4 linked regions of the Sus scrofa genome follow. The protein of the gene in region 1 interacts with the protein of each later gene in a biochemical or structural test. Links are inferred from orthologs where the notes say so. Each region holds a gene or a part of one and is shown in the gene's direction. Other genes may lie near its edges.

The links.
Region 2: the proteins of BMPR2 (region 1) and BMP4 form a complex in vitro, tested with the Homo sapiens proteins (2 studies listed by BioGRID). The link is inferred for Sus scrofa from reciprocal best matches to the Homo sapiens genes BMPR2 and BMP4.
Region 3: the proteins of BMPR2 (region 1) and BMP2 form a complex in vitro, tested with the Homo sapiens proteins (4 studies listed by BioGRID and IntAct, with this or other methods). The link is inferred for Sus scrofa from reciprocal best matches to the Homo sapiens genes BMPR2 and BMP2.
Region 4: the proteins of BMPR2 (region 1) and GDF2 form a complex in vitro, tested with the Homo sapiens proteins (2 studies listed by BioGRID). The link is inferred for Sus scrofa from reciprocal best matches to the Homo sapiens genes BMPR2 and GDF2.

What each region holds. Positions count from the first base shown.
Region 1 is NC_010457.5:106,127,032-106,131,620, forward strand, and holds part of BMPR2 (bone morphogenetic protein receptor type-2 precursor), read left to right. Parts: intron 1-1,712; coding exon 1,713-2,992; intron 2,993-4,589. UniProt on the Homo sapiens protein: On ligand binding, forms a receptor complex consisting of two type II and two type I transmembrane serine/threonine kinases.
Region 2 is NC_010443.5:183,415,947-183,422,441, reverse strand, and holds BMP4 (bone morphogenetic protein 4 precursor), read left to right. Parts: upstream 1-2,823; 5' UTR 2,824-2,847; coding exon of another isoform or gene 2,848-2,972; exon of another isoform or gene 2,973-3,997; 5' UTR 3,998-4,004; coding exon 4,005-4,377; intron 4,378-5,326; coding exon 5,327-6,183; 3' UTR 6,184-6,448; downstream 6,449-6,495.
Region 3 is NC_010459.5:15,756,508-15,762,386, forward strand, and holds part of BMP2 (bone morphogenetic protein 2), read left to right. Parts: intron 1-3,805; coding exon 3,806-4,650; 3' UTR 4,651-5,879. UniProt on the Homo sapiens protein: Growth factor of the TGF-beta superfamily that plays essential roles in many developmental processes, including cardiogenesis, neurogenesis, and osteogenesis. Induces cartilage and bone formation.
Region 4 is NC_010456.5:88,509,900-88,516,430, reverse strand, and holds the start of GDF2 (growth/differentiation factor 2), read left to right. Parts: upstream 1-3,014; 5' UTR 3,015-3,195; coding exon 3,196-3,544; intron 3,545-5,776; exon of another isoform or gene 5,777-6,355; coding exon 6,356-6,531. UniProt on the Homo sapiens protein: Potent circulating inhibitor of angiogenesis. Signals through the type I activin receptor ACVRL1 but not other Alks. Signaling through SMAD1 in endothelial cells requires TGF-beta coreceptor endoglin/ENG.

The sequences.
Region 1 (4,589 bases):
TACATCCCTAGTACTCATTTATTTTGTAACTGGAGGTTTGTACCTTTTGACTGCATTCATCCAGTTCTCCTTATCCCCACTCTCTGCTGCTAGTAACCTTATCCCCACTGTCTGCTGCTAGTAACCACAAATCTGATCTCTTTTTCTATGAGTTTGTTTGTTTGGTTTTGAAGTACAGTTGACCTGTAACTCTGTGTTAGTTCCTGTTACACAACATAGTGATTTGGTATTTCTATACATTTCAAAAATTATCACCAGTATGAGTCTAGTTACGGTATATCATCCTACAAAGATATTACATAGTTATTTACTCTGTTCCTTAGAGTGTGTATGTCATCATGACTCATGTATTCTGCAACTGGAATTTTATACCTCTTAACATTTCTCACTTATTTCCTCCCTTCCCTGACCCCCTCTTCTCTGGCAAATACCTGTTTGTTCTCTGTATCTGTAATTCTGTTTGTTTAGTTTTATTTGGTTTGGTTTTCAGATTCCACATACAAGTGAAATCATATGGTATTTGTCTTTCTCTGTCTGACTTATTTCACTTAGCATAATACATTCTAGATCCATCCATGTCACAGATGGAAAGATTTCATTCTTTTTTATGGCTGATATTCTGTTGGGCATATACCACATTTTTGTCTATTTATCTATCAGTGGGTACTTGGGTTTTTTCCATATCTTGGCCTGGCTTTTTTTTTTTAAAGCAAATATGTTATAGTGTGATGTTTAAGAACCACCATTCTCAAGATGTGACAATAACAGGGAAGAACCTTTGATAACTGGAGAGCAGTTCTATATCTTTGATTTATTTATTTATTTATTTTTTTATTTTGAGTGTCACATTCTGCCTTATACCCTAAGGCTCTAAGACTTTCATTGATAATGGTTCGGTCTACCTTAGGAAGATAAGTTCCTTTGCTAGACTATGCGTCTTAATGTAGCACTTTGAAACAACCTAAAAGATTATGTTCTTTTTACTATTTGGAACTTAGTTGGTAACATATTTGTTGAGTAGCAGTTGTATATTTAGAATTATGGAAATGTAAAAGACACACGCCTTGTTTCCTTCTCTCATGGAACTTTTTTTTTTTTTTTTTTTGCCTCTTCAGGGCCGCAACCTACGGCATATGGAGGTTCCCAGGCTAGGGGCCTAATGGGAGCTGTAGCTGCCAGCCACAGCCATAGCCACAACAACGCAGGATCTGAGCCGCATCTGCGATCTGCACCACAGCTCACAGCAACGCCGGGTCCTTAACCCACTGAGCGAGGCCAGGGATCGAACCCGCAACCTCATGGTTCCTAGTTGAATTCGTCAACCATTGAACCACAATGGGAACTCCTCTCATGGAACTTTTATGTCTGTTGTGCAAGTATTCAATTCATAAAGGTATATTTGCTAATGTTACAAAACTATAGGGGAGTTTTTTTAAATAACTTTTATAAGCCTAAAGAATAAGTATATATATAAATCATGTCTAGATCCATATAGGCTTTTTGGTAGGCTTAAATCATACAAAACTAGCCTTTAGCAAGGTATTAAATGACATTTGATTGTTTGATTAGAATTATTAAATAACCTTTAGAATAATGTGGGTTAGGAATAAAATTAAAAGCAAATTATTCTTTAAAATCAGAGGTGTTAAACTCTGAGAGTCAGTTTGTCATAAATGTACATTCTCAACATGGCACTTTTTTCTTTCTTTAAGCAACCTATCCCACAACAGGCGTGTGCCAAAGATTGGCCCTTATCCAGATTATTCTTCTTCCTCATACATTGAAGACTCGATCCATCACACTGACAGCATTGTGAAGAATATCTCCTCTGAGCATTCAATGTCCAGCACACCTTTGACTTTAGGGGAAAAGAACCGAAATTCAATTAACTATGAACGGCAGCAAGCACAAGCTCGAATCCCCAGCCCTGAAACAAGTGTCACCAGCTTGTCTACCAACACTACAACCACAAACACCACTGGCCTCACTCCAAGCACCGGCATGACCACTATATCTGAGATGCCATACTCAGATGAAGCAAATCTGCATGCCACAAATGTCTCACAGCCAATCGGGCCAACCCCCGTCTGCTTACAACTGACAGAAGAAGACTTGGAGACCAACAAGCTGGACCCAAAAGAAGTTGATAAAAACCTCAAAGAAAGTTCTGATGAGAATCTCATGGAACATTCTCTTAAACAGTTTAGTGGGCCAGATCCCCTGAGCAGTACCAGTTCTAGCTTGCTTTACCCACTCATAAAGCTTGCAGTAGAAGTGACAGGACAGCAGGACTTCGCACAGGCTGCAAATGGCCAAGCATGTTTAATTCCTGATGTCCCACCCGCTCAGATCTATCCTCTCCCCAAGCAACAGAACCTTCCTAAGAGACCTACTAGTTTGCCTTTGAACACCAAAAATTCAACAAAGGAGCCCCGGCTGAAATTTGGCAGCAAGCACAAATCAAACTTGAAACAAGTAGAAACTGGAGTTGCCAAGATGAATACAATCAATGCTGCAGAACCTCATGTGGTGACGGTCACCATGAATGGTGTGGCAGGTAGAAACCACAGCATTAACTCTCATGCTGCCACTACCCAGTATGTCAATGGGGTAGTTCCGTCTGGCCAGACAGCCAACACAGTGGCACATAGAACCCAAGAAATGCTGCAGAATCAATTCATTGGTGAGGACACCCGGCTGAATATTAATTCCAGTCCTGATGAGCATGAACCATTACTGAGACGAGAGCAACAGGCTGGCCATGATGAAGGTGTTCTGGATCGTCTGGTGGACAGGAGGGAACGACCACTGGAAGGCGGCCGAACTAATTCCAATAACAACAACAGCAATCCATGTTCAGAGCAAGAAGGTCTTACACAGGGTGTTCCAAGCACAGTAGCAGACCCTGCACCGTCAAAGCCCAGAAGAGCACAGAGGCCTAATTCTCTGGATCTTTCAGCCACAAATGTCCTTGATGGCAGCAGTTTGCAGTGTAAGTGGAGGGATTGTGTAATCTTTTGGGACCATTTAAGTAACTACTTAGTTAGAAACAGATTATGTTTCAACTAGCAATTATTTTATATTACTTTTCAAAATAAAATAAGCCATTTGGGAGTTCTCATTGTGGCCCAGCAGGTTTCAATCCTGACTAGTATGCAGGGATGCAGGTTTGATCCTTGGCCTTGCTCAGTGGGTTATGGATCCGGCCTTGCCATGAGCTATAGTGTAGGTTGCCGGTATGGCTCAGATCTGGTGTTGCTGTGGCTGCGGCATAGGCCAGTAGCTGCAGCTCTGATTTGACTCTTAGCCTAGGAACTTCCATATACTGCAGTGCAGCCCTGAAAGAAGCAAAAAATAAAATAAGCCATTTGGTTGGACTTCAGAAGTAATTAAAATGTTGTATAAAACAAATAATTTTGTTGTTTATAATTTAAAAGATAATGTCACAATAATTGGAATAGTTAGCAATTTGTCTTATGTAACTGCTGGTTTGTAATGCAACTCACATACTTACTATGAATAGTTGAGATAAAGTACTGACCAGTTTAAACAATCCAAGTAAGATGATGCCAGTATCACTTTTGAAACTTTGTTGAGCATATTAGTATTTATTAAAAAGTCCATAGAAAATTCAGAAAAGTCAATATAAAGAAACCATAGGAGTTCCAGTTTGTGGCACAGCAGAAATGAATCTGACTAGTATCCTATGAGGACACAGGTTTGATCCCTGACCTGGCTCAGTGGGTTAAGGATCTGGCGTTGTCCTGAGCTGTGGTGTAGGTCTCAGATGCAGCTCAGATTCTGCGTTGGTGTGGCTATGGTATAGGCCAGCAGCAGTAGCTCCAATTGGACCCCTGGCCTGGGGACTCCATATGCCTTAGGTGCAGCTCTAAAAAAAAATAAATAAAACAAGAAACTATAAAGTTCTTCATGGTTTTTAATGTCATTTTTTTTTTTTAGGAGTTATATGCTGAGTCTCCCATGTGCCTATAGCATTGTGCTGTGGGGCCTCTAGCAACTTGATACTTGGTTTATGGCCCTAGAAGGATTATAATGCAATATAGAAGAGCTCACCAAAATCTTTAACAGTCATCATTATACAAAATGACTTCTCCGAGTTCCCGTCGTGGCTCAGTGGAAACAAACCCGACTACTATCCATGAGGATATGGGTTCAATCCCTGGCCTTACTCGGTGGGTTAAAGGATCTGGAGTTGCTGTGAGCTGTGGTATAGGCTGGCAGCTGCAGCTCCAATTCAGCCCCTAGTCTGGGAACTTCCATATTTTGTGAGTGCGGCCCTAAAAAAAAAAAAGATTGTTTAGACTGATAGCACTTATAAAAAAAAAAAAAGAAAGAAAAAACAAAGACTACGAAATGGGCTGAAGGGATTCGGCTGTCATAAATCAGTAGCCCCTTGCTTGAATGGCTTGTATTATAGAAATGTTGACATACCTTATGGCAAGGTTCCATATTAGTAAAAATGTCTTGTGACACATGGGAAGGGTAAGTTACTAGAAAATTTGTACCCCATTGTTTATGTCATTATTCTGAAAAATATTAATGCCTTGAGCCTTTAAAATATGATCCAC
Region 2 (6,495 bases), on another chromosome or scaffold:
GCTGAGAGACATTTCCGTATATGCTACAGCCTCTACCCGGACCACTTTTCCCGTCCGGTGGCCCGGGGCGATTACCACCTTTGGTAGGTTCATGGCAGGAGAGAAGGGGAGAATAGAAGCCTTTAGTTGGAGATCGTTGGGAAAGACTGTGGGGTCTTGAGCGGAACACGTCGCCCTTGGACTAGCTTTGGCAATCCCAGGACGGAAAGGGCCGGGAGCGAAGGGGGAGTGACGGCTCTGAGATCCAGAGAGAGTGAGGGGGCTGATGGGCGGCGAGAGTACACCTAACTAAGGCTGGTTCTGCAGTGGGGAGCGCAGTTCTGCTTCTGGGGCGTGCGTGCGCTGCAGGAGGGGCTGCGTCTAGGGGAGTGTCACCCGACCCGGCACTCAGCCGGCGAAAACCCCTGAGAGCTGGCGAACTGCCGCTGCCCGACGCTTCTTCTCCATGAGCTATTTATTATCTTGGACTTGGCGGCATCCAAGGAGCCTCTCCTCTATCATTTCACCGGGTAGTGGCTGTAGGGAGGCCAGGATGCTAGCTGCTCTGGGTACGCGGCTTCTTGAGGTGTCGTGTCCTTTGGGGAGGCACTGGGGAGATGCGTCGTGGACTCGTGGCTCTTACTGACCCTCCCGGCCCCAAAACCAACTCGAAAGGGTACCGGGATTCACGAATCTTTGCGGACCCATCCCCATGGCCTCAGACGCTTCCCGGGCACCGATTTCGTGGTAGGTTTCTGAGGATCGCGTTTTGTGAGCTCAAGGCTTTTTGAGATGTTAAAACCCCGAAAAACAGATTCGGTAAACTGAGGTCACCTCTGAACAAATTTTGGCGTTGGGAGAAAACTCGTAGGGAAGTGAAGGACAGTCGCCATGAGTTGCATCTCCACCCCTCAAAAAAAAAAAAAAAAAAAAAAAGAAAGAAAGAGAGAGAAAGAAAAAAGCTGGAGACGAAAGTGCTTTTCAGCTTTTTTTTTAATTAAAAAAAAATGTGATTAGAGACGAATCCTATTGAGTCCGAAATTGAAACAACCCGCTCTTCCCTCGCCTCTGAGTTTTAGCGCAGCGCGCTCCCGCCGTAGCCCTGGGATTTCTAGGGTCGGAGGATTGTCCAGGAACTGCGGGCGCCCGCCCCTTCCACTGTCCTTCGCCCGCGGGGAGCTGCCCTTCTCTGCTTCTCCCATCTCTGGAGCTTTCCCCCCCACCCCGGTGCATTTTAAGGGTTCCAGGCGTCTCAACGAAACTCTTTGCTCTTCCCACCCGTTCGCAGTCAGCCTCAGCGGTGGCGCGGTAGCGGGAAAACTTAAAGGCGCTCAAAAGGCGGCAGCTCTGGGCGGGCAAGGATCGTCGCGCAGGGGCGCCCGCGCACACCCAGGCCAGCGACGGGTAGGGCCGCGCGGGACAACCGCGGCCGGGAGGGAGGGCTAAGCGTTTGATCCTTCACACTTCTTCCAGGCCCTCCTGCAAGTGCCCCCAAGATAAAACCGAGTTTTGCTGGGTGAGGCCGGGAACCTGAGCCTTCGAGCTCTGAATAGACCCAAGGCAGAAACTGGGAACAGGCTTAGGAAAGGGCGGCAGGGTACAGTGTGCTGTGCAGCCGGGATCGCGCGACTGTGACCCCTGCGCAGGCCGGGCAGATTCAGTTTCGAGGGTCACGGTTTCGGAAAGGACCCTGTATTGAGTGATCCACGCATGCAGCATCTTTGGATAGAGTCGGGATATCACAGTAATACCTTGAGCGGTGGGTTGGTAAAATTCTTGAAGCATTTGCTGAGATTCTGAAGCTGGTGCAAAGGAGGAAGGGGGGGGAGGAAGTGGCGGGAGAGGAGTAGTGGTTTAAAAAAGACGAGCTGGGGTGGGGGTGGGGGGAAAGACAGACGCAGAGATCGAGCGTAGGCCGAAAGCTGTTCACGGTTTTCTGGACTCCTGGGAACCCATTGTGATTTCCTTTCTGCCCTGGCTCGGGAGTTGTAAAACCTCTGAGACTTGGAGACCTGAAACAAGTGTTGAGCCCTTCCGAGGAGACGCCTCTCTTTTGAGTCCGCCCCTCCGCCTTTAAGGGCCTCAGGACCGCTTTCTTTGGGGATTTACTTTGCTCGGTGGGCACGCCGTGGTGTGGAGATTCTCTCCGTAAAGGAACCGGAGGAAAGAGCCCAGCGGCCATTCCCTTACCACGTTCCCACACTGGTCACCGCCTGACCATCTACCCCTCCGACCACTTATGACAGGTCCTCAGCTTTTGGTCGGGAGCTAAAGAGGCTGCTCAATTCCTCTAAACACTCGCAGAAGTTCGCCAGGGGGTGACTGTAGCTGGGAGCAATTTTTGGCCTCTCGGAGATCCTGGGGAGAAAGAGGGGTGGGTGCGCGCGGCACGTGTATATCTGTCTTTCAGTGCTTTTCTTTTTAAACGACCCTGGGTGGTGCGGCTTTCAGCTGCTGAGACTCCGCCGCCCCCAAATCCCGGCCCAACTTGAGCCAGGCTCACACTGAAAGGCGAAGCCCCTACCGTGCTCCCCAGATCCTCTCGCCTAAGGCAGCTGGCGGGAGGGATCAGGCCGACACGACGGAGGCTGCAGGTAGAGGCGAGGACCACGTCCTCCGCCAGCTGCACCCGGGGACCAGCTGAGGACTCGGCCGGGAGCTCCTCCCGGACGCTGGTGGTTGGGGCAGCAGGCGGGGAGGCTGGCCTCTCAGAGAGGGGGCGGGGCGGAGATGGGGCGGGTCCACTGCGGGGAAGGCGGACGCTTCGGTGCGCGGGGCGGAGTCTTTGCATTCACGTGACTCAGAGGGGCTGGAAGAAAAACAGAGTCAGCCTGCGCCAGTCTCATTATATTCAAATATTCATTTTAGGAGCCATTCTGTAGTGCCATCCAGAGCAACGCACTGCCGCAGCTCCTCTGAGCCTTTCCAGCAAGTTTGTTCAAGATTGGCTGTCAAGAATCATGGACTGTTATTATATGCCTTGTTTTCTGTCAGTGAGTAGACACCTCTTCCTTCCCTCTTCCCGGGAATTCACTCTGCCCTCCCCACCCGTGCTCGCCTTGTGTCCCTCCCGTCGGACCTGCCTTCCAGAGTCCACACTCCGCTTTCTGGCAGCGCTGTCGCTTTCTTCTTGGCGCCGCAGCCGCTGCGCTCTGAGCGTACCGGTTCTATTTAAAGTGCTGCTTGCTCCACTCTCTTCCTGATCTGTGCGTTGCAAGGAAGGAGAGCGAAAGGGGGCAAAAAAGAAAAGTCCGCAGCCAGGGGTGCTTACCATCCCCTTCTCCCACTTGACTGCGGATCACCCAGTGCCCCCGTGGCATATTCCCAGCTGCTTGTCAAACTCAGACGTCGCTCTTGGAATCATCCCCCCCACACACCCTTCTCTGGGAGTGAGTGAGCGGGCTCAATCAAACGCTTTTTGCTGGGCATTTCAAATTCATCAGCCCCCGTAAAATAAACCTTCCAGACCCAGCCGCCGGGTGTCTTCGCCCTGCCCCTGCTTCTCTGTTTTCCCTCCCTCCTGCTCCGAACCAGCTGGAAGTTGTGGAAGTCGGCTCGGAGGGCGGAGGAAGAAGGGGGGTGGAGGAAGGGGGGGGAGAGACTGAAGGTCTGAAGTGGAGAGTAGAGAGATGGTATTTTAATTCTCCCTCCCCCATCCTTTTTTACCTCCTCAATGTTAACTGTTTATCCTTGAAAAAGCCAAGCTGAGATCATGGCTCAGATAGCAGTTGGGACAAAAAAAGATTAACAGGATGGAGGCTATCTGATTTGGGGTTATTTGACTGTAAACAAGTTAGACCAAGTAATTACAGGGCAATTCCTACTTTCAGGCCGCGCATGGCTGCAGCTGGTGGTGGGGTGTGTGTGAGGGGGAAGACACAAACTTGATCTTTCTGACCTGTTTTACATCTTGACCCTCTCTGTCTAGCCCTGTATGAGTTTGCTGAGACATCTCTATTTTTCTCTAGTTATTGGTGTTTATTTATTCTTTAACCTTCCACCTCCTCCCCCTCCCTAGAGACACCATGATTCCTGGTAACCGAATGCTGATGGTCGTTTTATTATGCCAAGTCCTGCTAGGAGGCGCGAGCCATGCTAGTTTGATACCTGAGACGGGGAAGAAAAAAGTCGCCGAGATTCAGGGCCACGCGGGAGGACGCCGCTCAGGGCAGAGCCATGAGCTCCTTCGGGACTTCGAGGCTACACTTCTGCAGATGTTCGGGCTGCGTCGCCGCCCGCAGCCTAGCAAGAGCGCCGTCATCCCAGATTACATGCGGGATCTTTACCGGCTTCAGTCTGGAGAGGAGGAGGAGGAAGAGCAGACCCACAGCGTTGGTCTCGAGTATCCCGAGCGCCCTGCCAGTCGGGCCAACACCGTGAGAAGCTTCCACCACGAAGGTCAGTCCCAGCTCAGGGTCTGGGCTGTGGAGGGCCGGTAGGGCAGCTCTGGGGGAGAGGAGTTCAGGTTACATCAAAGCCCCAGATCAGGAGGCTAGGGAACCGAGCTGCTCACCTCCAAGGATTTTCAGAGCTGTGGCCCAGTTTATTTTTTGGAGACGGAGGGGAGGGGTTTGGGAGGAGAATGACACCGCTCAAGTCTCTGGCTAGCCCCAGAGGTGTGCTTCTGTGATATCAAAGCCTTTTATGCCAGATTTTCTGCGCATTTTTTTTTCCAAAGCACCTACTGAATTTAATATTACAGCTGTGTGTTTGTCAGGTTTATTCAATAGGGGCCTTGTAATCTGATCTGAATGTTTCCTAGCGGATGTTTCTTTTCCAAAGTAAATCTGAGTTATTAATCCACCAGCATCATTACTGTGTTGGAGTTTATTTCCCTCTCTGTAACATGATCAACAAGGCATGCTCTGTGTTTCCAAAGATCACTGGGGAAATGTTTGGTAACATACTCGAAAGTGGAAGAAGAGGGAGAGGGTGGTTGTGTGCATGTTCCCTCCTGCCTCTACTCTGTTGGCCCCTCTTTTTCTTTACAACCACTTGTAAAGAAAACTGTGTACACAAAGCCAGGAGGGCTTTAAAAGGGGAGTCTTATGGTGGTGGAGTAAGGAGTTGACACATGGAAATTATTAGACATATAAAGGAGGTTGGGAGATTGTCTTTGGTGCCTGCTGAATGCTATCTAAGCTTCACTAGTTTGCTAGCTGCCCCATTGATCTGCTCTTTCAAATTAAAAGGTATGTTTATTTCCCCCTAGTAGGCTTCCACTGTATAAGCAGAGTTCCCCACTCATCACCCAGCTCTTAGCTGTTTCTTGACTTTTCAGTCTCTCAAAAAGCTCATGGGCTTTTTTTTCTTTTCTCTTTTCTTTTTCCTCCCCAACTGTGCCTAGAACATCTGGAGAACATCCCAGGGACCAGCGAAAACTCTGCTTTTCGTTTCCTCTTTAACCTCAGCAGCATCCCAGAGAACGAGGTGATCTCATCCGCAGAGCTTCGACTCTTCCGGGAGCAGGTGGACCAGGGCCCTGACTGGGAGCAGGGCTTCCATCGTATAAACATTTATGAGGTTATGAAGCCCCCACCAGAAGTGGTGCCTGGACACCTCATCACACGACTACTGGACACGAGACTGGTCCACCACAATGTGACACGGTGGGAAACTTTTGATGTGAGCCCTGCGGTCCTTCGCTGGACCCGGGAGAAGCAGCCAAACTATGGGCTGGCCATTGAGGTGACCCACCTCCATCAGACACGGACCCACCAGGGCCAGCATGTCAGGATTAGCCGATCGTTACCTCAAGGGAGTGGGGACTGGGCCCAGCTCCGGCCCCTCCTGGTCACATTTGGCCATGATGGCCGGGGACATGCCTTGACCCGACGCCGGAGGGCCAAGCGTAGCCCCAAGCATCACCCACAGAGGGCTCGGAAGAAGAATAAGAACTGCCGGCGCCACTCGCTCTATGTGGACTTCAGTGACGTGGGCTGGAATGACTGGATTGTGGCTCCACCAGGCTACCAGGCCTTCTACTGCCATGGGGACTGCCCCTTTCCACTGGCTGACCACCTCAACTCAACCAATCATGCCATCGTTCAGACCCTGGTCAACTCTGTTAATTCCAGTATCCCCAAAGCCTGTTGTGTTCCCACCGAACTGAGTGCCATCTCCATGCTATACCTGGATGAGTATGACAAGGTGGTACTGAAAAATTATCAGGAGATGGTAGTAGAGGGATGTGGTTGCCGCTGAATCAGGCCTTCCGTGGGGAGAGACAGACAGACACACACACACACACACCCCATCCACTACTCACTCACACACTACACAGACCGCTTCCTTATAGCTGGACTTTTATCTTTAAGAAAAAAAAAAAAAAAAGGAAAAAACCCTAAACATTCACCTTGACCTTATTTATGACTTTATGTGCAAATGTTTTGACCATATTGATCATATATTTTGACAAAATATATTTATAACTACATATTAAAAAATAAAATGAGTCATTATTTTAAAGGTAAACTATGTTCCTTTTCTCTTTAATCCTTTCTTTCTTCCTTCTGC
Region 3 (5,879 bases), on another chromosome or scaffold:
CACTTGCTGTCATTAACGTGATGACTTCTTTCTTTTTTTTTTTGACTTCCGTGGCATATGGAAGTTCTCAGGCTAGGGTTCAAATCAGAGCTGTAGCTGCCAGCCTACACCACAGCTCACAGCAACGCCGGATCCTTATCCCACTGAGCAAGGCCAGGGATCAAACCCACATCCTCATGAACACTAGTTGGGTTTGTTACTGCTGAGCGATGACAGGAACTCTGATAACTTCTTTCTTTATGTCCTATTCTCTCCTGGCCTATGGAAGAGGCCAGAGTGGACCTAGGCAAGCTGAGGGAATTCCATCTCAACTTTTGGATTATTTTGATGTAGACAAATAATTGAAGTGTAAATGATTAAGGTGGAACTTCCCTTTTGGAGGAGAGGTTGAAAGTCACAGTTGCCTTGGGTTCCTTTATTTTTCTACAATTTTGCATCCATAGCTCCATCCATTTGGATAAGAACGTAAAGGTTCAAGGACCTAAGTCTCAGGTAGACTAGAGTCCTTAAATCCCTTGGCAGGTGCAGCTTATTCAACAAGGGTTATTTACCAAGAATTAATAACTGTATATGCCTTCAGAAAAACATACATTACCTACTTAGGTAAATGCTCTATATTTTCAGTATCTCCAGGCTGGTTGTGATGGTTTGCAGCTTTTTTTCCTTTACGCCATTTCAAAAGGTTCTGATTTTTTTTCCACCTTCAAGGAAAAAAAAAAAAAATCATGCTTTCTTGTAGATCAAAGGAAAGAGTAGTAGGTGCCCTAACCTTGGCCAGTTGTTTTCCTGAGATTGGGGGGGTTCCTGTGACCTTCTGACTTATCTCTGTGACCTGAGCCTGCAGTTAGGGGTATTTTCATAGAGGCCTTTGTATAAGGAGGAATAGCATTTCTTCAGGGGTTAGGGTAACTGAGGTGAAGCTGCAAAGTTGGAGAAAGATCTTCACGTTACTTATTTATATTTAATAGTGTAATTTTTTTCCTTTGCTAAATGCTATCCTTTCTGCCGCTCACCTTCAAGCAGATTCATGAGATAGCATGTTTTTTCTTTTTTGACCATGCCTGTGACATAAAAGTCCCCAGACCAGGGATCAAACCTGCCTACATTGTAGCAGCACCTGAGCCACTGCAGTGACAATGCTGGATCCTTAACCCACTATGCCATAAGAGAACTCCAAAATTGTTTTTTATAGGTCAAATCTGGCTGAATGGAGGCTGTCCTATATAATTCAGTCTAATAGTAGTCTTTCGGAGGGTTATGTTCTATTGAATGCCTCTTTGATACACATCCGCCCTCTTTACTTCATTGTCTCTCATGCTTACCTTGGAGGTTATTTCTTTATCCCCCTCCTCTTGGCTGTGTGTGTGTATGTTTAGAATTTCTTTCTTTCTTATTTATGGATTTGAACTTGGGAGTTTTGTTGCCGTTATGGTTTCTTTGGGCACCTATGTTAATACAGCTGCTTACCAAAGGCCCTGGATAATGTGCCTTTCCTTCCTCTATTTAAAAGAAAAGCCAGTATTCTTAGGTGTGCTGGTTTCAGCAAAGTCAGGAGCCCAGGTCTAGGCCTGGCTTGGTGTCCTCGTGTCCGGAGGATGCTGCTGACTTTTACATCACTCCTCTTTCCTCTGATAGCCAAGGGCTACTCTGATGAAAGAATATTTTCAGCAGAAGCAACCGAGGGCTCCTGAATTGCCAAGGGGAGTGGAAAGACGGGGGTAAACACCATCCTTGATATTTGCTGGAGACACGGACCAGAGCCCTGCTTCCACTGGTGGGAGGATTATTTTTAAAATAGCGCCTGGCCGGAAGTAGCATTAGCCGGCAGTGGTTTTAGGGTGTGCATGGCTCCTGAAAGGTACTCCTCCGTGTGTGGGTTAGCAGGCCCAAGAGGCCCATGGAAGATACTTCGGACCTCTTGGTCTCCCTGACCAAGTAGATGGGCTTTAAATCCTTCTGTTCTGAGTCTGGCTGCCCACCTATGGCCTCACCTCTTCCTTTTTGGCCAATGCTAATGGTTTTTCTATTTATTCTTCTATTATTTTTAAAAAGGCACTTGAAACGATGTCCCTGGTAATTGGTAATTTATACGTGAATGTGAAAAACATCCTTACAGCCTTTATGCTCAAAGGCTGGTTCACGAGTCCCCAGCATTGTCTCACCTGGGAGCTGCTTGGAATGCTGATTCCCAGGCCACACCCCAGACTCACCCACTGAATCAGAATCTGCATTTGAAGATTCACGGTGTCCTGGGTGTTTTGCACCGCAGCTGCAGTTTGAGAAGCATCACATTAAAGCATTCCTCCATAATTTGATGTAAGCCGCCCCTGTTGACCTCGTGCATCCACTTAGCTGCAGTGATGACTCTTGTTTTGATGATGTTTACACAGGTAGAACCTTTGAGTGAGTGACTGAAATGATTCTCCTTTGCCAAGGCATCTGAATTCTGTGAGGGAAGTGTAGCTGTTTGGTGTAGAAGTAAAATCAGAAAATTAATGAAAGTAGGGCTTCCTCTTATGGTGATGACATGCACCATGGCCAAACAGATTTTGTTAGCACTCAGGTTGGATCCTGAATGAAGCAGGTAAAAACTGTTGACAGTGGAATGACAAGATGTAGTAAAGCTAGAAGAAGGTCAACCCACATATCTCAAAGTCTAGTGCCATTTACTACTAATTTAATGATAACACATACCTTTGATGATGTGCAGGCTGCAGCATTCAAGGTACTGTGTTATAGTTTATTGTTTGCTTGGGAAGCAATTTACTCCTTAAAATTGAAATTCTGGAATTTTAAATCAGGAAGAACTTTTATGTATACCCCACTTAAATGACTATTTTGAAATAATGATAATAGATTTTAAATTATTCTCTAATAGATTTTCCCTTACACCAGAAATATCATAATGGTATTTCCGTTGATTTTTATAAATTATTTTTGGTTTTCCCTCTCTCTCCCAAAGCCTATTTTAGGGTAGGTATGTTTTTTAACATGGTTTATTTTTTTAAAAAGATAAAGGAATTACAACAGAAGAGTCATTTTTTTTCTTCCAAAAGCATCGGAAGTAAGTTTTTGATTTTTGAGGTCATAAGGAGGTGAGAGAACAGACAAACCGGGGAGTTATTTCTCTTGAAATGTCTAGCCTTAATTATTACAATGCCCTAGTACCTAGTACCACCCTTATGTTTCCAAAGAAATAGATCCCTGTAAATGCCTTTGTCTCTGGACTTTTGAGTAAAATAGTAGGGTGTGCTTTGCAAAATGTCATCGTGGATGTTGAGTTTCAGAGTCTTTAATTAGGAAACTGAAATCTGTATATCGAGATTTGTAAATCATCTAAATTGCAGAGTAATGTTTTAGAATACCGCTTAAGGGATTGACATTAAAGCCTTTTTCTTTTTAAGAAATGCAATAATTTCCTCAAATCCTCACTCATTAGACCTCTACTAACTACAGTGCTGACTTTTTCTTTTTGCCCTAAAGTCTGTGAATTCCAAAGAAATGCTTCACCATTCCCCCCATTATTATAGCCACCTGGAAGCAGTATTCATGTGTTGGATTAAAAATGTAACAATGAATTAGGAACTTTTGTTTCACAATACATATGTTGACATAAATGTATAGAAAAGGGAGGATCCTTTTTTTTTTTTATCAAAAGGGGAAAATTTAAATTTTCTGGTTGCAAACTTTGACGTGGGAGAAATCAAACCCTGAAGTGAGGTTTATAAATCCTTCTATCCAATCAGATTGTCACCACTTGTCCTAACAATTTTCCTTTTTTTTCCACTTTTTTGTATCAAATTAGAATCTTTGGAAGAACTGCCAGAAATGAGTGGAAAAACAACCCGGCGCTTCTTCTTTAATTTAACTTCTGTCCCCACCGAGGAGTTTATCACCTCAGCAGAACTTCAGGTCTTTCGGGAGCAGACACAGGAGACTTTGGATAACAGTAGCAGTTTCCATCACCGAATTAATATTTATGAAATCATCAAACCTGCAACAGCCAACTCCAAGTTCCCCGTGACCAGACTTTTGGACACCAGGTTGGTGACTCCGAATGCCAGCAGGTGGGAGAGCTTCGACGTCACCCCCGCTGTGATGCGGTGGACTGCACAGGGGGTCGCCAACCACGGGTTCGTGGTGGAAGTGGCCCACCCGGAGGACAGCCCGGAGGTCTCCAAGAGGCATGTGCGGATTAGCAGGTCTTTGCACCAAGATGAGCACAGCTGGTTACAAATAAGACCCTTGCTAGTCACTTTCGGCCACGATGGGAAAGGACACCCTCTGCACAAAAGGGAAAAGCGTCAAGCAAAACACAAACAGCGCAAGCGCCTGAAATCCAGCTGCAAGAGACACCCTTTGTACGTGGACTTCAGTGATGTGGGCTGGAATGACTGGATCGTAGCCCCCCCGGGGTATCATGCCTTTTACTGCCACGGGGAGTGCCCTTTCCCCCTGGCTGATCACCTGAACTCCACGAATCACGCCATCGTCCAGACGTTGGTCAACTCCGTTAACTCTAAGATCCCAAAGGCGTGCTGTGTCCCAACAGAACTCAGTGCCATCTCCATGCTGTACCTTGACGAGAACGAAAAGGTGGTATTAAAGAACTACCAGGACATGGTTGTGGAGGGTTGTGGGTGTCGTTAGCACAGCAAAATAAAAATAAATATATATATATATATTTTAGAAAAAACAAAAAAAAAAATCAAGTTGACACTTTAATATTTCCCAATGAAGACTTTATTTATGGAATGGAATGGAGAAAAAAAACACAGCTATTTTGAAAATATATTTATATCTACGAAAAGAAGTTGGGAAAACAAATATTTTAATCAGAGAATTATTCCTTAAAGATTTTAAAATGTATTTCGTTGTACATTTTATATGGGTTCAACCCCAGCACATGAAGTATAATGGTCAGATTTATTTTGTATTTATTTACTATTATAACCACTTTTTAGGAGAAATAGCTAATTTGTATTTATATGTAATCGAAAGAAGTATTGGGTTTGTACATAATTTTCCAAAAATTGTAGTTGTTTTTCGTTGTGTGTATTTAAGATGAAAAGTCTACATGGAAGGTTACTCTGGCAAAGTGCTTAGCACATTTGCTTTTTTTTTTTTTTTTTTTTTTTTTTTTTTTTTTTTTTTTTTTTTTTGCAGTGCTACTGTTAAGGTCACAAGTTCAAGTCCAGAAAAAAAAAGTGGATAATCCACTCTGCTGACTTTCAAGATTATTATATTATTCAATTCTCAGGAATGTTGCAGAGTGGTTACCCAGTCCATGAGAACCTATGTCCTTATTAGGTGGAATATTTGGATAAGAACCAGACATCGCTGATCTAATATACAATCCTTCCCCCACCCCCCAATTTGCAGAAAATAAAAAGCAGGACCAATTGAAATAATTAGGAAAATGATGAATCTTCAGGAAAGGGAATGATGGTTTGTTGTTCTTCTTTCCTAAACTAGTGACCCCTTCAAAGGGGCTGGTCTGGCCAAAGTGTTAAATAAAACATAAGATTTCTTCATTATTCAGATTGTGGTCATGTATATTTAAAATTGATATCTAGTTGCCCTCATGAAGAGTTGGAAATTGATTTGTGTTTTAACTTTTACCTCACCTGGCAGCCTAAAGCTCAGAAGGACTCCATTTTCTAACTTTGCCCCCAACACAGCAAAAGCATGCCCGTCGTGCTTTCTCTCCACCCCGATCTCTGTTCCATCAGCTTGCTTTTCTTTCCAAGGTTATATATTTGAACACTTTTCTCCAAATGTTAAACCTATTTAGGATAATAAATATCAAAGCTCTGGTACTTCATTCTATAGAGTCCATCCTGTAAGAGAAAATGGAACATTTGTACAGCATTCACAAA
Region 4 (6,531 bases), on another chromosome or scaffold:
GACCAAACAAGACTCAAACCTTGTTCCCTGAGACCAGAGTTAAGGGGATCTGCTTAGATGGACTAAGGCCCATTTGTTCCAAAGGTAATGAGGTCCCTAAATCAACTAGAGAAAGGTGGGAGCCTAGGCTGGTAACTCAGGCTCCCCATAAGAACCTAGACATTTATGGGAGACAGCAGGATGGGATCAGAGTGACCATGGCTGGCCCCTCAACTCAGTCACCTGCCACAGGGGAATGCCTTCCAGAGAAAGTGCAAGCTTAGTATGTCTAAGAAAGCTGTTACCTTGGGGCCCAAAGGCAGACATCATGGGAACCTTGGCAGATACCTGGACCAGCCAGGGCATCCCAGCTTCTGTGCACCAGTAGCTATAAGATGTGTGGGATGCACCCAACATCAAGACTGGATGTCACTGAGAAGCAACAGCAGGTAGAACCTGCCAGGACCCCTAGCCCATGCCTCCCTTCCAGCAGTAAGAAGTTGAACTATACCATCACTACAGCATCCTTGGACAGTTCAGGAAAGGGATGCTCTGAGAGACCAGACTTTCAATAATAGGAATCAGGAGGGCTCATGCAATGACTTAAATAAAAGAAAGGAGATGTGGACATATTGATACTCTTGAGTTTATGGGGCAGATCATTCCAGAAATACAGAGCCACAATGCAAAATTCTGGTGGTACCATCCTCACCCAGTCTATGTGACCAGGACCTCCAGACAGGGTTCACATGCAGCCTCCATGGCCCAGTGTGGTGACCCCATATATAAACAGGTCTGCAGTCCTGTTATATGAAATCCCCAAATCTGAAACTATTAGAAAACCTGAAGTCTCTTTCAATTCCTTTCAGGGCAAAACTGGACCTAAGTGGACATTTGTGTTTTTATTTGTTTCCCTAGAGAAATATTAATGTGTTTGGTTATAGGATGTTGTCCTGAACTCCACTGAGGATATTACAGTATATACTCCATACCATTTCTCAAATCTGGAGCTTTCTGAAACTCAAAGCACTCTTGAATCTTAAAACTCTGCCACAAGAAAAAAAAAAAACAAAAACTCTTCTCTTTTATTTTTTGAAGGCAAAGTAAATATACTTTTAGATCTCCAAGGATAAAGAAATGTTATCTCCTATAAACCTTCTGTAAACCCTATGAACAACAAAGGGGATTGTGGAGCTGCATATATCTCAAGATGTTAACTGTGTCCCTACTGGATGGTGAGATCACAGGTTATTTTTATCTCCTCCTTTCTAATGTGTTGCAGTTCCCAAATTATCTGTACTATATTACTGTTATAATCGGTTAAAAAAAATCTGTCATGTTTTTAAGAAAACATAACAGCTCCTCCAGCTTTGAGAACACATTCAGGCCAGCTCCCTTTCTCCCTTGGCTCCGCCTCTTGAATGTGACAGGCTTCTGGGCTGCCCGCAGAGACTGGAGCCCTGTGGGGAATGCCAGCCCAGCTCCCCAGATCCTCCAGGCTCGATCCCTGCTGTGAAGTTGCAGCTCCACTTCCTGGGCTGTGGGTTCATCTTTTCCCCGCCTCAGGGAGTTGTTGCCCAGAGCTGGCTCAAAGCCTAGCATGCTTCCTGCCCTCCTCGGCAAGCAGTACTTCTGGAGCTGCACCCTTCCCATCCAGCCTCCTTGGCAGTGTCCCAGGGGATAGGGACAGCAAGTTCTGTCCAGACCCGGCCACTGGGCCTTCCTGGATTCAGCCCACCCCCAGTAGGGATGGTGCATGCTGGGATCTCTGATCTTGCCTGCGCTGGCCCCTTGTTCATCTTCCTGAACCTCCTCCACTCACTGTAACCCCTTCCCAGGAGCCCCACCAGCTTGGGAAAACTTTGTCTTTAAATACTCCTCAAAGTTGACCCCCAGAATATTTTTCTGCTCATCCTTTGTTGTGATCAAGCCGCAAGTGATGGAAATGGACAGAGTCTGAATGTGGGCACACTGTTCTAAAATGTCGCAGACCCCGGAACCTCACAGGCCCAGACTGCGCCACAGCTTGTTGGCTTCCTTAGGCCAGGGGGACGTCTCCTGGACATGTCCTGGCCTCAGAGCTCCCCCCTCCCTGTCCTTTGTCTCAGACGGCACGGTTCTCCTGACTGACAAGTGTGGTTCATGCAGCCGCCCAGCTGACATGAGTATGAGCAAAGATCAGCCCCATCTGAGACCAGTGACAGAGCTCCTCTGGGATCCCGGGGCCAGCAGGTCTCACCGTGTAAGTGGTGTTCATAGAGACCAGGCCAGGATCTCTACAGGGCTGCCTCCCTAGCTCCTCTCTCAGTCAGACCCAAGGTGGAGAAGTGGCAGCCAGAATGCAGCCACCCAACTGACGGGCTTACGGTGACTACCACGACCTTTAGCACAAATCGCCTTAAATCTTACAACTCTCTCCCGAACCAGAGACTCGGGAGGTGAAATGACTTGCTCCAGGACACACTTGTGGGGAGTAAGTGAGGGACCTGGGATTTGAACCCGAATCTGGTCTGACCCAAAGTCTCCATAACCTCACTGACTTCTATGTGCCACATTCACCCATGAGCTCACTGGACAGACGAGAAACCGAGACACAAGGTACTTGAGCCACAAGTGCTTATTGCAGTTGCACAGGAAGTAGGCTTCTTACTAACTCTGACATAAGGTTCCCACCCCACTGCCCACACTAGGTCCCAGTGGTTAGCAGGGGTCTTCTGGGAGTTTTGTGCTGTTTTTTCTATATTTGGAGGACTTTTGGGTCTTGTTTGTTTCCTGGATTCTTTGTTCCCCTGGCCCAGGAGATGGAACATATGTCACCCAGTCTCAAGATGCCTCTGAACAGAGCTGGCAAGGAAATGAGAAAGGATCCTAATTAGGGGGCGATAACCCCACAGAGAAATTCAGACTCTTTGCAGCAGGCCTTGTCCTTCCCACAAGTCTTGTGTGTTTGTCAGATGTTTATAGAGCCTTCATTAACGCAGCTCTCCCTCAGATAAGAGGCCTGAACACAGCATCAAGGGCCAGATAAGAACAAGTGGAGGGCACTCCGGGGACGGCGGGTGGGTGAGAGCCTGTGAACGGGCCTGGGCGCGTGGGGTGCGCGGTGGAGAGCTTGTGGGCAGGACAATGCGTGCCGGCTCCTTCCGGGCTCCTCCCCGCACCCGCTAACACACTGCAGCTGCCGCAGTCTCTGAAGCAGGGAGAGAGCACCCCAAGATGTGTCGCGGGGTGCTCTGGGTGGCCCTGCCTGTGGCGCTCTCCCTGCTGGTGTGCTCCACGCAGGGGAAGCCACTGGACAGCCGGGTGAGGGCCTCGGCTGGGGGAGATGCCCACCGCCTGCTAGGAGGGGCCGGAGGTGAGCAGGAACGGGGCACCTTCGACCTGAGGATGTTCCTGGAAAACATGAAGGTGGATTTCTTGCGCAGTCTCAACCTGAGCGGGGTCCCCTCCCAGGACAAAACCCGAGCTGAGCCACCGCAGTACATGATTGACCTGTACAACAGATACACCACTGACAAGACGTCCACCCCCGCGTCCAACATCGTGCGCAGCTTCAGCGTAGAAGGTAGAGTCAGCCCATCCGGGCGCCTGGTGTGGGGGCGGGGGGCTCAGTGGTCCATGGATGCTGCTGCCCAATATGGCGGCCAGTGGAAACATGGGACTCTTGATGTTTCCATTTATGTTAATTTAAAGGAAATAAAATTAATAATTTAGTTCTTTGGTTTCACTAGCTTGAATGCAAGTGCCCAGCAACCATGCATGGCTAATTGCTGCCCTATAGGACAGTGGCGATTATAGAACAGTTCCCTTACTGCAGACATTTCTATTGGACAGCTCTGCTCTAGAAGATTCTCCCTCCCTGGGCCCAAAGCCACATTTAACACCAGAGGTGCTGAGGAAATGTCAGCTCCCTTTCTTCCATCCTTTCTCCTACCTCCTCTTTGCCATACTGTCCCCTTCCTGCTTAGACAGCTTATTTACCATCCAACCAACTGGTATATTTTTGAACACCGAAAGAATGTCTGCTTCTCTCTCATCAAAAGGTGTTTAAAATTCAGATTAATTCCTTCAAGAGAGAAACATTGGAGGACAACTTATTTTCCAAACATTAAATAATTATCCTGACTTAGGCAGACTAGAAGATAATAAATGTCAACTTAGGACTTAAGTCTACTAATTTATTTGCACAACGTAGGTGACAAGATCTTGTGAGCAGGGGAGTCAAGGCTTGCAGACCCTGAGGGAACTTGCCCAGTTCACATGTTAGTTAAGCAGCTGACCGCTTAACTAACATTAGTTAAGGCTGCCCAGCTCAGCCTTTTTCTGCAGCTGCAGCCTCTCTCTAACCAGCCAAGCACTCGGGGCCTCTTCTCTCCTGGGCTTGGGACCTGCAGACTCCTAACAGATGTATGCCTTATTTAAAGGATGCTGTGGTCATGCCACGTGCCCAGCAAGACTGTATTTTCTTTTTTTAATTTCCTTTTTTTTTAAAATTAAAGTGTAGTTGATTTATAATATTGTGCCAATTTCTGCTATATTTTCTGATGTCCCTGGAGTTTATATGAACTTGCTTGATTTTTAAACGCTGGCTTAATATTTTTTTAATGCGGTCTCAGGTCATCCAGATGCTGCTAATGTCTCACTGGTGCATGTCTGTAACCTCTGCTTTAGGGGAAGGCTGGGCTCTCTTGGCTGGACCAAATCACCAAATCACCAAATCCCATAGTCTAGGAGTGCAGTGTTGGAGCTATATCAGTGACTTCCCACCCACACCCCGCCCCCAGCATTGTCATTGTCCCAGAAACAAGTGATCTGATCCCAGCTCTGCCTGTGGCCAGCACTCCTATGGAGGCCAGTTATGCTTCCCTTCACACAGCCTGAGTGCAGTTCAGGCAGGGAGGCCCTTGTTTTCTAGATGTCTGATGCGCTCCCATGGCCATGTTCATAGTGGGTCCTTGAAACACTGCTCATAGACTGCACTCACTACTCACATATGCTATAGTGCCTCGCCACCCACCACAGGAACTAGGATGGCATGTCCACTCTGGGTCAGGGGACACAGAGATATATGAAAGGCATGTGCTAGGGTGCATACATAGGCAAGAAGGACACAGAAATATTGAGTATCTGCTGTGAGCCAGAGACAGCGTAGGGCAAGTCCCATGTACCTTCTTGTCAAAGCCTCACACCGACCCTGGGAGGCTGGACAGATGAGCCCCATTTTCCAGATGAGGAAACAGGCCCAGAGGAACTCGGGAGAGTCAAGATTGGCACTCAGTCTGTCAGGCATGGCCAGGTTCACAACAGCACCCAGTCTTCCTTCACGTTGGCACATAGTAGGAGCTCAAAAAACACAACACTTCTCTCTTTGTGACCGAACCATGGTATAATAAATGTGCTGGTGGCCATGCAGCAGCCTGGGGAGTGGGAAAGTGAGACAGTTGTGTAGCTAAAAGGCAAGCCCTCTTTGAGCCAAATGTGACTAAGCCATTGAGGTTAATATTTTTTTTACCTCAAACATTAAAAAAAAATCGGCGTTACCGTCATGGCTCAGGGGTAACAAACCTGACTAGGATCCATGAGGTTCGATCCCTGGCCTTGCTCGGTGCGTTAAGGATCCAGCGTTACCATGAGCTTTGCTGTAGGTCAAAGATGCGGCTTGAATCCAGCTTTGCTGTGGCTGTGGCGTAGGAGGGCAGCTGTAGCTCTGATTTGACCCCTAGCCTGCGAACCTCCATATGCCACAGGTGCAGCCTTAAAAAGACAAAAATAAATAAATAAATAAATAATCACCTACCTTCATTTTGCTCAGAAGTTACAATTCTGGGTGATTTTTATACCACTTAGATGCTGAGAGTTTTAACATCATCTTAGGCTGGAATTTCACTGTCCTCTCCCAGGATCTCTCCTTTAAAATTATACCCTCAGGATCTGCACTCTGAGACTGACAGTGAGCTTTGCTGTTTTGTAAAGTGAGAATTTTTCCAGGATGTATGCAATTACAGTTAAACACTCTGAATCCAAGTGTCTGTATCTGTAAAAGTGGAATAATAATAAGATCCTCCCAGGGTTAATGTGAAGAGAAAAGTGAAACATAGTATGTAATGCTAGGTACACAGTAGGTGCTCAATAAACAGCTATACCTGTCAACATCAATGCAAAGCATCTCTTGCCTCTGTTTTTCTTTGAAAGATGCTCAATATACCTTTTTAAATACCCTTCTACATTTAGGGTTTAAGGGAAACCAAATGGAGATTTGTTAGAGACAGACAATGTCATCTCAGATGCCCTTTCATCTAAACCATGAGCCTCAGCTTTGGTGTCATGAAACGAGACCCTCCCAACAGATGCCCATGACTGTGTATTTGCATTTCAGATGCTGTCTCTGTCTCAGCCACAGAAGACTTCCCTTTCCAGAAACACATCTTGCTCTTCAATATCTCCGTTCCCAGGCATGAGCAGATCACCAGGGCTGAGCTCCGACTCTACCTCTCTTGTCAAAGTCACGTGGATGCCTCCCATGAGCTGAAAGGAAACATGATCATCTATGAT